Linked DNA regions of Arabidopsis thaliana. The protein of the gene in region 1 interacts with the protein of each later gene in a pairwise test. Each region holds a gene or a part of one and is shown on either strand. Other genes may lie near its edges.

The links. The genes of interacting proteins can lie anywhere in the genome.
Region 2: the proteins of PHOT1 (region 1) and ARFA1E interact in a two-hybrid assay, tested with the Arabidopsis thaliana proteins (one study listed by BioGRID).
Region 3: the proteins of PHOT1 (region 1) and ARFB1B interact in a two-hybrid assay, tested with the Arabidopsis thaliana proteins (one study listed by BioGRID).

What each region holds. Positions count from the first base shown.
Region 1 is NC_003074.8:16,814,784-16,822,736, forward strand, and holds the start of PHOT1 (phototropin 1), read left to right. Parts: upstream 1-1,937; 5' UTR 1,938-2,132; intron 2,133-3,563; exon of another isoform or gene 3,564-3,760; 5' UTR 3,761-3,773; coding exon 3,774-4,474; intron 4,475-5,013; coding exon 5,014-5,196; intron 5,197-5,469; coding exon 5,470-5,561; intron 5,562-5,656; coding exon 5,657-5,924; intron 5,925-6,019; coding exon 6,020-6,242; intron 6,243-6,339; coding exon 6,340-6,410; intron 6,411-6,498; coding exon 6,499-6,605; intron 6,606-6,688; coding exon 6,689-6,738; intron 6,739-6,861; coding exon 6,862-6,966; intron 6,967-7,049; coding exon 7,050-7,109; intron 7,110-7,205; coding exon 7,206-7,372; intron 7,373-7,465; coding exon 7,466-7,550; intron 7,551-7,636; coding exon 7,637-7,717; intron 7,718-7,821; coding exon 7,822-7,925; intron 7,926-7,953. UniProt on the Arabidopsis thaliana protein: Protein kinase that acts as a blue light (BL) photoreceptor in a signal-transduction pathway for photo-induced movements.
Region 2 is NC_003074.8:23,049,669-23,054,320, reverse strand, and holds ARFA1E (ADP-ribosylation factor A1E), read right to left. Parts: upstream 2,778-4,652; 5' UTR 2,572-2,777; intron 2,044-2,571; 5' UTR 2,035-2,043; coding exon 1,887-2,034; intron 1,577-1,886; coding exon 1,506-1,576; intron 1,369-1,505; coding exon 1,249-1,368; intron 1,165-1,248; coding exon 1,046-1,164; intron 947-1,045; coding exon 865-946; intron 782-864; coding exon 776-781; 3' UTR 735-775; exon of another isoform or gene 651-734; 3' UTR 504-650; downstream 1-503. Other genes in the region: DUF7 (agenet domain protein (DOMAIN OF UNKNOWN FUNCTION 724 7)), read right to left, coding at 1-74; AT3G62280 (GDSL-like Lipase/Acylhydrolase superfamily protein), read left to right, coding at 3,205-3,457, 3,570-3,752, 3,828-3,991, 4,257-4,527, 4,611-4,652.
Region 3 is NC_003076.8:5,609,134-5,613,577, forward strand, and holds ARFB1B (ADP-ribosylation factor B1B), read left to right. Parts: upstream 1-1,607; 5' UTR 1,608-1,922; coding exon 1,923-1,979; intron 1,980-2,263; coding exon 2,264-2,354; intron 2,355-2,711; coding exon 2,712-2,827; intron 2,828-3,024; coding exon 3,025-3,084; intron 3,085-3,163; coding exon 3,164-3,229; intron 3,230-3,317; coding exon 3,318-3,506; 3' UTR 3,507-3,515; exon of another isoform or gene 3,516-3,620; 3' UTR 3,621-3,941; downstream 3,942-4,444. Other genes in the region: UGT78D2 (UDP-glucosyl transferase 78D2), read right to left, coding at 1-259; AT5G17070 (serine/threonine-protein phosphatase 4 regulatory subunit-like protein), read right to left, coding at 4,381-4,444.

The DNA.
Region 1 (7,953 bases):
TGTGTTAATGTAAACATTCCTACTTGTACTATCAGTAGACCAACATCGTATATTTTACCAAAACAATATATATGACGATAGAAAAACAATGGTAATTAGAAAATATTAAATTTTCCTAATGTAGATATTCTTGCATATAGTAACTACTAACCAGTGTCATTATCCCATCTTGAATCTTGATTTGTCTAGGGGTTAATTTAGAAAATGGGAGAATTTAAGCGGCCAATATGTGAAGATTGATGTAAACTAACCAGTGTCATTGTCCCATCTTGAATCTTGATTTGTCTAGGGAAGAAAAAGGGGTCAATTTAGAAAATGGGAGAAGTTAAGCGGCCAATATGTGAAGATTGATGTAACATTTTCAGCCCCCACCACACACTCAAACCCACAATGGACACATGATGGATAAGATTATAACCCGTTAAGATCTTTTTTTCTCTTTGATCAATCTTCACATGGGTTCTGGTCCTACTTGTATATGAAATGTTACCATACTCTCCTCTTTGTATTATACCCTTCACAAATTTTGTCCATAGGGTTTCCGACAAAAGGGTTTGAATCTGAACTGTTCTGATATTTTTAACCAAGCCTGATAGTGATCGTGATCGCTTGGGATGACCAGTCTGTAGTGGCAGATCCATTTTTGTTACCGGGATCATAATATAACTTTTAAGAGAAAAAAATGTTACTGAATTTGAGTGTAGTGGGGTCATTATATTAATACCAAATTTTACAAATGATGATACTGTTTTTTTTTTTAACAATATTTACATGCAATTAAAAAATATTTAGTTATTCAATCTGAGACGTATCGGCGCTATGCCATTGCTAGTCTATATTTGTTACACCGTTAAACTAGTTACACATTGCTTTTTAGAATATGCAAATGATCAAATGCATGGTTGTTTAAGGTTGGATTTTTATTTTTTTATCCAAAGTTTAAGGTTGTATTTGTGCCCATGATTTGATAGCATACCAAATCGATTGGGTTAACAACTGCTATATATTCTTGCAATATATTTTGTTTATGCATCGTAATGTATAGGGAAGTTATCTGCTAATTAATAATTAGAGTGATTTTTGGAAAACAAAATAGAGACAGAATTAATAAAACCATTTTAAAGAGAGAAAGTTTTGACAAAAAAAAAGCGAGAGAAAGTTTTGATAAATCAACCAAAAATGCATATAACAATGACATGTGATTGCTTTTTAATTTGTTTGTGATTTCTGTACCGATCTCCATGTTCGATTTCATCACTAAATCGGATAAAAGTGTATGTTCTTCTTTAATGTTTTTGCATGAAATATCTTGCAATGCATAAAGACTGAGATTTCTACCATTACAAAAGTGGAAAGAGAACATCTATGTAATATTGGGTCTCTGCATTTGCATTTGGGAACGGTTTTGGCGTTTTCAAATGACAACTCACTCCCACTTATAGTCACTGACACACACAGAAACTTTTAAAAGAACAACCATCACTCCACACACTTATGTGTTCTTCAAATGTTTTATTTATCATTTACTTCAATTATACGCACAAGTTACAACAAGCAAGTTTTTTTGTGCAATATTCTCTTTTATAATCCTGTTTGTCCTATACCAAAACCTAGATTAATCACTGTCAAACCAACATCATAAAATTGTTGGTTAAGTCATATAAACCATTCGTTTCCAATAAGTGCCATAGAAATTGAATATTGAGCATAGTCAGAATATATATTTATGTTTGGTCTGGTTTTGTTTGACAAAGAGAGTATATTCAGGTTTATAATCTAATTATCAAGACAGAGTTATACAGAAGATAGATAAACGATACTAGTGTTACGTTTCTATACAATCTTTTGAAAGTAAACAAAAGAAGCCATGTGGAATCAAAAACATTCGAAGCATGGGAAGATCAAATAATCCAGTGATGGAGCTAGAACGGAACTAAATCAATCATGAAACCTAAATAGTTTTTTAATCTTTCTAGAATCTCTTCTTATCAAAAAATTTCCTTATTTGTATAAAAAGCCTCGGGAAAGTTAACTTCTCATCCCAAACTCATTCCTCAGTTTATCTCTCGACTAGAGAGTGAAGGAAAAATCGAAGGATAATCTGTTTCTTCCAGCACAAGTTAACTTGCAAGGTAGTTTTCTCCCTTCGATTTATACTGTCTTGCTCACTTTCTTAGGCTATTTTTAGGACGATTCATTTTTTTAATTTGTATGTTATTCATCTTTTTAGGGTTCTTGTCACATTTTCGGCCTTAATTTGTATGTGTAAAAATATAAATAGTGAAGTAGATATCATTTTATATCGTCTAGCACTCTAGCTACTAGCTTGATCTGAAACTAGTATATATATAAATTATTTGAATGTCAGCTTTTTTTTGTGAAAGTCACACATCACATGGTAGTTGCATATTTCAAGAACTCAACTGAATTCGATTTAAAATTTCTCCAATCATAATTCATAAAGATATGTATTTCAATTTTTTTAAATAAAAATAGATTTTCCTATTTACCATGAAATTTTTTACTCTTTTTATTTGTTCTCATATAAATAGAGTGATAAACTATTTTACAAAGTTCATTTATGTGGAAATTGATAAAATGACAAGAACATGAAAAAAAGACAAAGATTTTTAGTTGAAATCTGTGATCGATCGAACAGAATCGGTTCAGCTACTGTTTTTGTAATAGAACAACTGTCCATTTTTATACCAAAATGACTAAACCACCCTTAGAAGATGCATGTGTTGTGTGGTACTAAAAACTCAAAAAAGCATTGAAACTTTACACCTTTGTGTCGTTTTCTCAATTTTACCCCCGCTTCATTTGGAATTGTCACTCTCAAAATTGGCGTATTTTCCAGTTCATATCTTCATTCATCTATGGCCCCATAAACCATAACTCTTTGAACCATATTTAATAATGTTACCTGCATGCATATACATTCATATAAAACATGTATTCATTATCATGTTAGATATGTCTAGTCTATTATTTCCCAAAAGAAAGACACCTAAGAGAGCAAGATTCTTGTTATTCATGATAACATTTTTGAAGATTCAAAAAAAATGAGTGATTGATGAATTATTTATGGTCAGCATCTAGTAAAATCATATCGACATATCCAGTCAGCCTTAGTAGAAATGCACCAAAGTGATATAGAGTGGATTTCTCTCGATCCGTGTAGAAATGGACCACCACATTGTCTGTTTAGAATATTATATTTTTTTGTATAAAATTGTAGACATAATCTCTTATTAATAAATATTTAATGCAAGTTAGTTATTTTTAATTTTATGAAAAGAGGTTAACTCCAATATGTACCATACTACTTGAAGAAGTTAAATGACAAAAAAAAATATAAGTAATACTACCATTTCCATATATTGTACTGATATTTCAAACTTTAATCAACTTTCCTTTCTATTTCTCCTTCTTTTTTTATGGTCAAACCCATTCTGTTTATGACTAAACATATGACATATCTAACCGTTATTAATTAGTTCACATATCACATATTTGTATAGTGTTTTCATTTTCAGTAATCAAACCATCCATCTACCACAAAAGAACTTGGTCATGTGTCCATTTTTAGAAATCAATAAAATATTATACCATATATTTATAGTATCTAACTTTAAGAGAATAAATATTTTTATTTGCCGATTCATATACACACACATGCGTGTGGTATCTATGTCTATCCATTAAACTAATTATATATAAACTTATTTTCTGGCCACAATTTTTGTTTCGTGTATAGAGAGAGCTCAAAGATGGAACCAACAGAAAAACCATCGACCAAACCATCTTCTCGGACTCTACCTAGAGACACTCGTGGCTCTCTCGAAGTATTCAACCCGTCAACTCAGCTGACCCGACCCGATAACCCGGTGTTCCGTCCTGAACCACCAGCGTGGCAAAACTTGAGTGATCCACGTGGCACCAGTCCTCAACCCCGACCACAACAAGAACCAGCTCCATCCAACCCTGTTCGGTCTGATCAAGAAATCGCTGTCACGACCTCATGGATGGCTCTGAAAGACCCATCACCGGAGACAATCTCCAAGAAGACGATCACCGCCGAGAAACCACAGAAGTCGGCGGTGGCGGCTGAGCAGAGAGCGGCAGAGTGGGGATTGGTTTTGAAGACCGATACAAAGACGGGAAAGCCACAAGGAGTAGGCGTGAGGAACTCTGGTGGAACTGAGAATGATCCTAACGGGAAAAAGACTACATCGCAGAGAAACTCGCAAAACTCTTGCCGGAGCTCCGGTGAGATGTCGGACGGAGATGTTCCCGGCGGGAGGAGTGGGATTCCAAGAGTATCGGAAGATCTAAAAGATGCGTTGTCGACGTTTCAACAAACGTTTGTGGTCTCAGATGCTACAAAACCTGATTATCCGATTATGTATGCAAGTGCTGGTTTCTTCAATATGACTGGTTACACTTCCAAAGAAGTCGTCGGCAGAAACTGGTAAAAAGTTATTCAAAAAATTTTAGAGCATTTTTTTAATATATAAAATACGTTTCGTTTTCTGTAATAATTACCAAAATTGCAAAGTTTTTTCTAATTAAATATCATAGTTTTGTTTTTAGGTTTATGGTTACTATAAATGTATAAAGATATCTTAAATGACTTAGTAATTCTTTCTAAATTTTCAAAAATTAAACCTAACTTTATTTTATTTTTTTAGAACTTTTCGAAACTGTGTACCAAAATTACAAAGATTAAGTTTTAGGTATGGTTATCCTAAATGATTTAGTAACTCTTACTAAATTTCTAAAAACTTTTTATAAACCTAATTTTTATGTTGTTTTTCCAAACTAATAGCCTTTTATAAACTAAGTTTATTTTTTAATGATAACTTAAAATATTTCTTTTAAATCGAACATTTCTTTGCAAATTCGAAAAATTTCTTACAAAAGTTTCCACCATTTTTTGTTCAATGAATGAATTTTATTTACAAAAAGAAAGAAGAAAAGAACATAATTTGGGTTTTTGTTTTATTGTAGCCGATTTTTACAAGGATCAGGTACAGATGCAGATGAGTTAGCAAAGATAAGAGAGACATTAGCTGCTGGTAACAATTATTGTGGGCGTATATTGAATTACAAGAAAGATGGGACCTCTTTTTGGAATCTTCTCACGATTGCTCCCATTAAAGACGAGAGTGGCAAAGTCCTCAAATTTATCGGGTTAGTCCCTTATTCCTTTTTATTTACTCGTTTCTCTCCTTTATTTCTTTCATTCAAAATGTCACCCTTTTTAATGGGTCTAAGTGTGGACCTGTGATTTGTGTTGCTTTCTCCGCAATAATTCAAAGATTTGTATCACCGACGGATCCTATTGTAGAATAACAAAAGAGAATAATCAATCAGGAAAAAGAAAAGAATTATAGAATCTGATAAAAAAATATGATTTTGAGGAAAAATCAGAAGATACCAATATGTTTTGTTTATTTGGACCAGAATGCAAGTGGAGGTGAGCAAGCACACTGAAGGGGCCAAAGAAAAGGCTTTGAGGCCCAATGGGCTTCCGGAATCTCTGATTCGATACGATGGTATTTACATACTTTCTTTTTCTATTTGTTTTTCCAAATTTTTTTCCATTTATTATGTTTTCTTAAAAATATTTTCAAATTTTGTTTTGTAAAAGCCCGCCAAAAAGATATGGCGACAAACTCAGTGACAGAGCTAGTAGAGGCGGTGAAGAGACCTCGGGCACTAAGCGAATCGACGAATCTCCATCCCTTCATGACAAAATCGGAGAGCGATGAACTTCCGAAAAAACCAGCTCGGCGAATGTCCGAAAATGTTGTTCCGTCAGGCCGAAGAAACTCTGGCGGCGGAAGAAGAAACTCGATGCAGCGAATCAACGAAATTCCCGAGAAAAAATCTAGAAAATCTTCCCTTTCCTTCATGGGGTAATAATCCTTACTAGATCATTTGTTTACCTGACAATTACTTTATAAAAATCGATTTAGTCTTTGATATGATTGTTGTGATACTCTGGTGATAGGATCAAGAAGAAGAGCGAATCTTTGGATGAATCTATAGACGATGGATTTATAGAGTATGGAGAAGAAGACGATGAGATTAGTGATAGGGACGAGAGACCTGAGAGTGTGGATGATAAAGTGAGACAAAAGGAAATGAGAAAGGGTATTGATCTAGCTACTACACTCGAACGTATCGAGAAGAATTTCGTCATCACTGATCCTAGGCTTCCCGATAATCCCATTGTAAGAACAAATGTTTTAGAAAAATGGAAACTTTTTTTGTTATGTTTCATTTCGATTGGTCTGAAAACGTATTGTTTGCTTTGTCCTATGTTTCTAGATTTTTGCATCTGATAGTTTCTTGGAGCTCACGGAATATAGCCGTGAAGAAATTCTTGGAAGAAATTGCAGGTATTACATGAATGTGATCTCAAAATGTCTTTTGAAAATATTTTTGAGCATAGAGCATGTGTTTATAAATTTTGTTTCATGGTTTTAGGTTTCTACAAGGTCCAGAGACTGATCTAACCACAGTGAAGAAGATTCGAAATGCTATTGATAACCAAACCGAAGTGACAGTTCAGCTCATCAACTACACCAAGAGCGGTACTCGATTTTTTCGATATTCTTAGATTAATCTGTCGATCATTGTATAAAGTTTTAAATTTACATTATATTCTCTGTGGCAGGAAAGAAGTTCTGGAACATTTTCCACTTGCAACCTATGCGTGATCAGAAGGTATAATGGTTTACATAGATATCTTGCATTATACGGCACCTTCAAACTAATCCTCAATTTCTTTTGGTTTATGAATTTAAAACTGAAGATGTCTATATTCTTTCTTTGATATGTTGTTGACAGGGAGAAGTACAATACTTTATTGGAGTTCAACTAGACGGGAGCAAGCACGTAGAACCAGTTCGCAATGTCATTGAAGAAACCGCAGTGAAAGAGGGAGAAGACCTGGTCTGGAATCCTAAACTATTGATCTTGATTTAGTATTCGTTTGATAGAAAATCAAGTATTAAACCTTAATCTATATTCTTTAGGTGAAAAAAACAGCTGTGAATATCGATGAAGCGGTTCGAGAACTTCCTGATGCCAACATGGTAAGTGATTGTCTAAGGATCTGAATATGATCATTTTAGATTAAGGTTTATTAGAATATATCTGACAGAATGTTTTATTGTGTCTTGTTTCTGAAGACACCAGAGGATTTATGGGCAAACCACTCAAAGGTTGTTCATTGTAAGCCTCACAGGAAAGATTCACCACCATGGATAGCTATCCAAAAGGTGTTGGAAAGTGGTGAACCGATTGGTTTGAAGCATTTCAAACCGGTGAAACCTTTGGGTTCTGGTGACACAGGAAGGTCTGAAACTCTATCTAATCTAATGAAATAGCTTACAAAAAAAAAGAACATTTCCTTCATTAATCTTATAATATCCCATTTGTGTTTTATCAGTGTGCATCTAGTGGAACTCGTTGGAACAGATCAGTTGTTTGCAATGAAAGCAATGGACAAGGCTGTTATGCTTAACCGAAACAAAGTAATTACAGTAACTTGCACTTCAAGGAATCTTGAGTTTCGCTTTTTATTTGTAAGTTTTGTAGCCACTGATATAATTTTTTGCAGGTACATAGAGCTAGAGCTGAGAGAGAGATCCTAGATTTGCTTGACCATCCTTTTCTTCCTGCACTCTACGCTTCTTTTCAGGTCAAAACCTCTGTTTACACATATATATATATATATATATATATATATATATATGCGTGTCTCTTTGGTCTTTGGTTACTAATGGATCATGTTTTATTCTGCAGACAAAAACACATATATGTCTTATAACAGATTACTATCCAGGAGGAGAACTCTTCATGCTCCTAGATCGACAACCTAGGAAGGTTCTCAAAGAAGATGCTGTAAGGTACAAGTGTTCCTCGCTCGAAAAAGTC
Region 2 (4,652 bases), 6.2 Mb from region 1:
TCTTGAGACGAGATTTCAATTTCAGAACCTTTAGAAACAGAGAGTTTCTCCTTTCTTCCCGTAGTTAACAACATGCTTTCTCTCAGAAAACCCTAAGAAACAACCACAATCTTCTCCACCAGAACCCTAGACCTAAGAAGAGAGACGAAAGATAAAGTGAGCTCTCCTTCTTTGGGAAACCTTTAGAAAAAATGCCGCTAAGATTTTGAGTGTATGTAATTGTTAAAAGTGTAGTGGAGATCTACTATTAATTAACTTCTTCTTCATTTTTCTTACAACGTATTTAATTATGATTAAATCGGGAACTGTAGCTCTTTGTACTGGTGCTGCCCCCATCCAATCAGATTTGCGGATTAGTTCTAAATTCAGTTTTTTTTTTTATTAGTATACTTGATGACATATAGGAATCAAAATACGTTGATTTTGATTTCTCTTAGTTATACCGTTTGAATACTGTTTGGATTCTGTTCCAACATTTTTCAAGTTCATCTCACGAATTTGGGCCATCTCAAAGAAATATATTCGGTAAATGCAGAAGCCTAAAGAAATTGGATGCCGGCAAAAAAAAAAAAAAAATTGGAATATCCGCCGAAATTGGGCCCCATTTTATAAGAGTCTGAATTATAGGATAAAAGCAACAAAAAAAAAAACTTGTAAATTATTAGAGCGAAGAACAAAGAGTATGAAATGATAAGAGTTTGAGACGAAAGAACAAAAGATAGAAGGAAGAAGACAAGACTCTCCTCGATTAAAAACCAAACCACACGTTGTTCTCCTAAGCCTGCAAGTTAATCACACATTTGAGTAAGTCTTTAACAATCAATTTCTTACTAATACGATTTCAAAAATTGTAAAGTTGTATACCTTGTTTGCGATGTTGTTAGAGAGCCAGTCAAGTCCCTCATAAAGCCCTTCTCCGGAGGTAGCACATGTGCTCTGTATGTACCTGTTCAACAAACCCCACCAACGATTTACATCAGCTTTTCATGTTACGATATAGGTATCTGGTAAATAAAGAGATTTGGTTTGGTTTTCTTTGGCTCACCAGTGTCGTTGACGGAGAGAGTGAAGTCCAAGCTTATCGGTTATCTCAGCGGCGTTCATCGCATTTGGAAGATCTTGCTTGTTAGCAAAAACGAGAAGCACAGCATCTCTCAACTCATCCTGCAACAGTCAAAAAGGAAACAAAATGATGCCAACTGCTTCATAATGTAACATTAGAGAAGGAGATTTTTGTTTGAGTTTTACTTCGTTCAACATTCTGTGAAGCTCATCTCTGGCTTCCACAACACGGTCACGATCATTGCTGTCCACCACAAAGATAAGTCCCTGAGTGTTCTGGAAGTAGTGCCTCCACAATGGACGAATCTGGATGAGCAAGCAAACAAAAAAGGTTATATTGGAATAGTGAAAGTGCCATTCAGTAAAATAGGACAGCTCATGGAGAATCAAGGATTTAGCTATAGTAATTGTCGAATGCTGGTAAAGGACTGTAATCACAATACCTTGTCTTGACCCCCGACATCCCACACGGTAAAGCTAATGTTCTTGTATTCCACAGTCTCCACATTGAAACCTAGCAAGAACAGGTATTGTCAATACGACAGATCTAAAAAATTCAAGCACTCATTCTATGAATCATACACAAACCATGAATCAAAGATGAATGCCCTTGAGCAAGTAGAAGTACACCGCATGCAAACCAAATGAAAAAACTTGCAACTATATATTCAAGTTCCAATCTAATCTAGGAATCCAACCATGATACGAAAAATTCAACCTAAGCCCTTGAGATGATTGCATAACAATGTGTCAATTTCACATACTAAGTTTAGAGATGAATAATAATTAGATGAAAGAAAGAGTATGCAAAGTTAGAAACTCACCAATGGTTGGAATCGTAGTCACGATCTCTCCAAGCTTGAGCTTGTACAAGATCGTAGTCTTACCAGCTGCATCGAGACCCACCATGAGGATACGCATCTCTTTCTTTGCAAAGAGCTTGCTGAACAACTTTCCGAAGGATAGACCCATTTTTCAAGCCTGTTTCAGAGTTTTCAAATAACACCTTCAGTCTAAACGCATACTCAATTGCAGCATTCATATGGAATAAATACTTTAGAAAACAATCACAAAGCAAAGAAGTTATCATGCAATCCTAGGATTATAAATTCTCTGGAACTCATTTTGCATCAATCACATAGATTCAATATCCATCACTTGAGAAAACAATTACAACGCAAAGCAATCCTATGTTTCCAAATGCTCTCGGATCTCATTCGTATGAGCAAGTTTCAATAAAATCAACATGATTAACAATAAGAGATCTAAATTTCGATCTGAAAAAAGACAAATCTAGATCACTATCTATAACGATCATGCAGGATACAGATCTATCAACCCTAAGGAAACGAATCACAAGAAATCATGTCACATCCATAACGAAATTAAGCGCATACACACAGATCTGGAGATGACGGACTCCGATCGCGATATACATAATCGAAAGAGACGATCAAGTAAACAAAAAGAGAAAGAGGGATACAGATTCGGCGATGAACGGAGACTTACCGGGGAAAAAACTACGCCGAAGAAGAAGAAGACTCTAGACTTAACACTGTCGCCGATGGTCGTCCAAAGAACAAGAAATGGTCTTCGAACGTGAGAGGAGGAATCGTGGAACACAACTATTCTCTACTTATTGCCAAAAAAAATCACAAATTCTCGCTTTTACAAATATTTGTATTTATTTTATTATTTTAGCTTCGATAACAAGTAGCGGGGATAGCTCAGTTGGGAGAGCGTCAGACTGAAGATCTGAAGGTCGCGTGTTCGATCCACGCTCACCGCATTTGTTTTTGTTTTTTCGCACTCGATTAGTGGGCCTGGACTTCGAACAAAATATTCGATAAGGTCCATTTATTTTCGGATTTGGCCCATATTAATCAAATAAGTTGTACGGAGTATTTTAATAGCTCAACAAGTTCTGACAATCCTTATAGAACATGGCCGATCGGATCTATAGGTTGATTGATTGCTTTTACTTTGAGATTATTTAGAGATTTATATAATGCGACTTGCAATAGTACTTATTGACTTACATTCAAAAAATTTGACTTTCTAAGCCAAAGACATTACTATATGTAAAAGCTTCAGATCGTGAATCTTGATTAAAATTATCTGAGTAGCAAGAATTCAAAAGAAATGGATTACACTGTTTCCTCTCTACAATGCTTCTTCTTAGTTTTATGTCTCTCTCTTTTGGTTTGCTCTAACTCTGAAACTAGTTACAAGTCAAACAAGAAACCTATATTGATAAACTTCGGCGACTCTAACTCCGACACCGGAGGAGTTCTTGCTGGAGTTGGACTTCCTATCGGACTCCCTCATGGCATTACCTTCTTCCATAGAGGCACTGGTCGTCTCGGTGACGGTCGACTCATCGTTGACTTCTACTGTGAGTCCCAATTCTTTCTCTTTTTTTTCAACAAGAGTTTCAATTCTTTAAATATATGTTTTATGTACATGTAATGTTATATATTTGATTAAACCTTTTGATATATGATCAGGTGAACATTTAAAGATGACATATTTGAGTCCATATTTGGATTCACTTTCACCAAATTTCAAAAGAGGAGTCAATTTCGCAGTCTCGGGCGCCACCGCTCTTCCGATCTTTTCCTTCCCTCTTGCCATTCAAATTCGTCAATTCGTCCATTTCAAAAACCGTTCTCAAGAACTTATCTCTTCCGGTAATTACTTTTGTCCCAAACAATTTATACATATCTCGTCTTAATTACTTACAAAATATGTTTCCTTGTTGATAGGTAGAAGAGACCTTATTGATGATAATGGATTTAGAAACGCGTTGTACATGATCGATATTGGACAAAACGATCTTTTACTTGCTCTATATGATTCGAATTTAACCTATGCACCCGTTGTCGAAAAAATTCCTTCCATGCTTCTTGAGATAAAGAAAGCCATACAGGTACTTCATTTCTTCCACAATTTTTTTTTATTTTTACATATACGTAAACTGTTAGCCCCAAAACTTATTTTTTCATAAACTTATTAGGGTGGTAAATCGGTAACTAAAAACTTCAGGGACATTATTTAAGTAAAACTAAAAAACTCTACCCATATTTGATTTTCCAACTTTCTTGGGGCAAATGGGCAATTGTTTAAAACTTTCTAGTTGACTATTAAACCATACCTAATACGGCTGATTTGTGATTTGGTATGTTGTACTGAAGACTGTATATTTATACGGAGGGAGAAAGTTTTGGGTACACAACACAGGCCCATTGGGCTGTGCACCAAAAGAATTGGCGATTCACCTGCATAACGATTCGGATCTTGACCCGATTGGTTGTTTCCGGGTTCACAATGAAGTCGCCAAAGCCTTCAACAAAGGACTCCTTAGTCTCTGCAACGAACTGAGATCCCAATTCAAAGACGCCACTCTCGTCTACGTTGATATTTACTCCATCAAATATAAACTCTCCGCCGATTTCAAACTATACGGTGCGTATCGACCGCATCTATAAAAGTCCTATTTTAATTAGTTAACCGGTTTTGATTGGTTTATTTGGTTTATGAGGTTTCAGGATTTGTGGACCCGTTGATGGCTTGTTGCGGTTATGGAGGAA
Region 3 (4,444 bases), on another chromosome or scaffold:
GTCTCCCGCTAAACACGTATCCCTCCGGAACACCGTCGGCAATATCGTATACTCTGATGTTCGCCGGACGATCTGCTTCGTCACCGGAGGAAAATAACGAAGAGTTGGATTGTGCGGTGTTGAAGAAAGAGAAGACGGTGGAAGGAGAGGCGGAGGCGAGGCGGCGCGTGACGGTGAGGAGAGGAGCTGCATGAGTGCCGAAAGGAAAAGCGAGAACTGCCACGTGGGAGTCTCTGGTTGGGTCGGAGGGTTTGGTCATGGTGCGAGTAATGAAGAAGAAGACTTGAAAAGAGAAGAGAGAGTTTGTTGGAGAATAAATAGAGAGGAGAGGGCTAAAGAGAAGAGAGAGTGTGGTCGTAAATGAACCACCGAGCAAGTGTAAAGCTCGTGTTTCGTGGTTGGTACCGATCTCTTCTCTTTCTTTATATAACAAGTAAACAACTTTTTTAATCAAATTTTTTTATGAACGACAAATTTAATAACAAAATCCGTTTTTTGATATTTTCTTTTTTTTCAGAGAAAATGTTTTTGTTTTTTTATGTAATTTTCTTCTTATAGAAAGGACATTTTTAGGATTGTATTTGTATCTGTACTTTGTACATGATATCTTAATAAAGCAATTATTAGATTATTTTTTCAACCAAAAAAATAAAAATTATTGATTTGTCATAAGATTTGATTGGTTGAATGATTTATTTTAAGACTTTAGAGGGAAAAAATAAAAGAAAATAATCTATTTTACCCGTCAACAAAGTAGTAGACTTTTGTTTTTTATGATCATCCGTTGAAAAAATAGGAAATTATAACACTAGCAAAAAGGGTGGGAGTTAGAGTATCCGTTTGAATTCAGATCGAATATTTTAGATTTTTAGGTTTTCAAATTTAGAGGTATAAAATCTATTCGGATAATTCTATATTGTGGGTTGGGTCAGAATATTTCGAATTTGGATTATCCGAAGTTCCCAAAAATCAACTTTTTTATAAACGAATCTATCTAAACTCCTAGAAAGTATACAAAACATCTAAAAATTTTGAACATTTTTACCCAAATTTATTCAAAAATAGATTAAATACCCAAAAATATCTAAAATATTTTAAAATCCTAATATTTTGACACTAAAATTATTATAAATATAAATGCTAATAATAATTTATTACTATGTACTTAAATTGTAGGTATGTTAGGATATACATTCGGATACTGGTTCAAATTATTACTAACGATTGGGTGTTCAAATTCAGATATTATGCACACCTTAAATTCAAATCCACAAATTGTTTATCAATAAAAGTATATTTTAAGATGGATTTTGAAATCATTAGTTCAATAACACTGAATTTCATGAGACTTTTTAAAATCCATGTTTGAATAACATTAGATTTATAAATTTTACACAAATCTCTTAAAATTTCACTTTCAATTTACCCCCTAAGATATTAAAATTGTTATTACTTCTGATTTTTGACTCAATACTCACTGAATTCGTTTCGTTTGGTAGGTGATATATGTGGCTATTGTTAAACCGAGCCTGCCAACCCAAAATAAAAAGTTAGAAACCAATCCGACCCATTATTTGTAAATTGGGCTGCAAAGCCTAGAAAAAAATATTCACTATTTTGCGATAGTATTATTAAATTTATATATTTGAGAAAATGAGAGAATGGTGGAAGTAAAATAATTTGAAAGGAATATGAATATTCCGTTGAAGAAGACTTGCTCCTGAAATCCTTTGGACCGAAACTCGTAAAATTATTTCCCTTCAATTTCTCTGAAATCTATTCACCGTCTCCTTTGTCTCCTCCTCCAAATCGATCGTTCCTCGTCGTCGTCTGATTTTCTCTACGATTGCTTTTTCTGTCTAGCTCGATAAGATAAAACAAAACTAATTTTTGAAGAGTTTTTTTTTTTGGGTTTGGGAGCGATGGGTCAAGCTTTTCGTAAGCTATTCGATACTTTCTTCGGCAATCAAGAAATGAGGGTAATCTCATCATCTCTCGTGCTATTTATCTGGATGGGATCTCGTGTAATTTTGTCATCTTTGATTTGTTTTGGTTTTAGTCATAGCTTTTATCGCCCATGTCTGACCTTTGATGTTTCGGAATTTTGGATTTGGAAAAGACTTTATAACTCAAGCTTGTGTTTTCTGGATTCTTCTCTATTACGAATCATAGATTTGTTGTTAGCTGTGGCATGATGAATCAGAATTGAAGAAATGATTTTTGAATCTCTCTTTTTTTTTTCCAATTTTGTGATTAATGACAGGTCGTTATGCTGGGGCTGGATGCTGCTGGAAAAACAACTATTCTCTACAAGCTTCATATTGGAGAAGTTTTGTCTACTGTTCCCACCATTGGTAAGCTTTCTGGTTGTTTTTTGAGCTGTGATTATTCTTGATCTCAGAAGCTATGTAGTTGGATTCATTTCTTGTTTTGGAACAAGATTTGGATAGATCTTTGGTGAATGCTGTCAGAATTGTAGATACTCGGAACATCTATCTTCTCCTTCAGCTGAATCTCATGATATTCTGCCAACTTTTGTGATGCCTTGTACTTCTGAAGTCATAAGTTGTGTCTGTGAATTTCTCTTGTGTCATTCAGTTATGATACATGGTTCTTGTGACATTATACTTTTATCTATGATTATTGTTCTGTCATTTTCCTTTTGGTTGTTTGGATTATGTCTGCTGACAATTTAAACTTATGTTACTCAGGATTCAATGTTGAGAAAGTTCAGTACAAGAATGTGATGTTCACAGTTTGGGATGTTGGTGGCCAAGAGAAACTGAGACCTCTTTGGAGGCATTACTTCAATAATACTGATGGACTTGTACGTATATAGTTTTTTTTTCGATTTTTGCTTTCAGTCAGATACTTAACTTTCAAGGTTTTTCCATCTCTATGTTGGCATATGTTATCCTATATTTGGTTATGATGTTGCAGTATCATATGTTGCTTGGCCAATCTTTAGATCTTTTTCCATCTTTATCGACCATGGTATAAGACTACTCTATGATGCTCTTGCAGATATACGTGGTGGATTCCTTAGATCGAGAGAGGATCGGGAAAGCAAAGCAAGAATTTCAGGTATAATACCTCAGAACTTGCAAAAGACTTTTCGTAAACTCTCTGGATTATACCTTACCCTGCTCTCGGATTGCCACAGGAGATCATAAAAGACCCATTCATGCTAAACAGTATCATTCTGGTGTTTGCAAACAAACAGGACATGGTAATTCGATATTTTCTTTTGGTTTTTGTTTGTTTCTCGTCTGTGCTTATAATTCCTCAATTCACTTCTTTACTCTGCTGGATATTAGAGAGGAGCCATGTCACCGAGAGAAGTATGTGAAGGGTTAGGCTTATTTGATCTCAAGAACAGGAAATGGCACATACAAGGTACTTGTGCTCTTCGTGGAGACGGGCTTTATGAAGGCTTGGACTGGTTATCATCTACTCTTAAGGATGTTAAAGCCGCTGGATTCACATCGGTTGGCCACTCGTTTTAAATCTTCCAGGTAATATAAAGACCTGAAAACACCAGCGAGCTATAACCAGTAGTTCAGTACAATTACTCTCAGTCTCGTGATCAGGATCTTGTAAAACGTCATTTCTCCTTGCAGGTATACTTTGATATCAATGGCCAGTGTCTTCTTCTTGGCTTTATCACGAAATCAGAATCTCTGAAGACTTTTTTTGTTAAGGAAAGAATGATCTTCTCATTGTGGCAATATTAGACTCCATTAGACTATTTTTGAATTTTGATCATGCTGCCATGAAAGCTTCTTTGTATATTCTGCTGATGAAGAGTTGTATCATCTGAAAAACCTTCTCTTTGGGGTCATCTTTGTCCGATTAAGACTTTGGTAGATGTATATACATTCCTTCGAAATCATGATATATTTTTTTATAACAATTATAAGTTTTCCCTTCTTCTTTTTCTCAACATATTTGGCATTTTGGCCTTTTGGTGATTTTATAGGTTATGCAGAATATTCAGTTAAGAATCTACCCAAAAATCCCAGTTGAAAACAGTATGTTGCAAACTCTCTTAGAAATTAGAAAAAGCTTAAGCTTAGAGAAAGATTAACACGTTGCTGAAGATAAGAATTTTTATCTCACAAAGATTAACACATAATGCTGACATCGTTATATTACCATTATTAGGTTATCTAGGTTGTTTAATTTTTCTCTTTTATCTAGGGAATTTACTTCTTCTTTCTTTGTGCTGGTCAGTAGGATAAATGCGTTTTACTGATAAACCAGAAATTCCACAAAAACAAGAATATTCTTAAGACTAATATAGTGCAAGATCAAGATCCTAGAACAAGCATTATATTCCAGATCAGTTTTCAAAGCTGATAATGTTCAAACTTTGACTCTCTAGGCACACGTTGTAGGCAACCGTGAATCTCCTTCCTCTGCCACCATTGAATCCGATAATGGT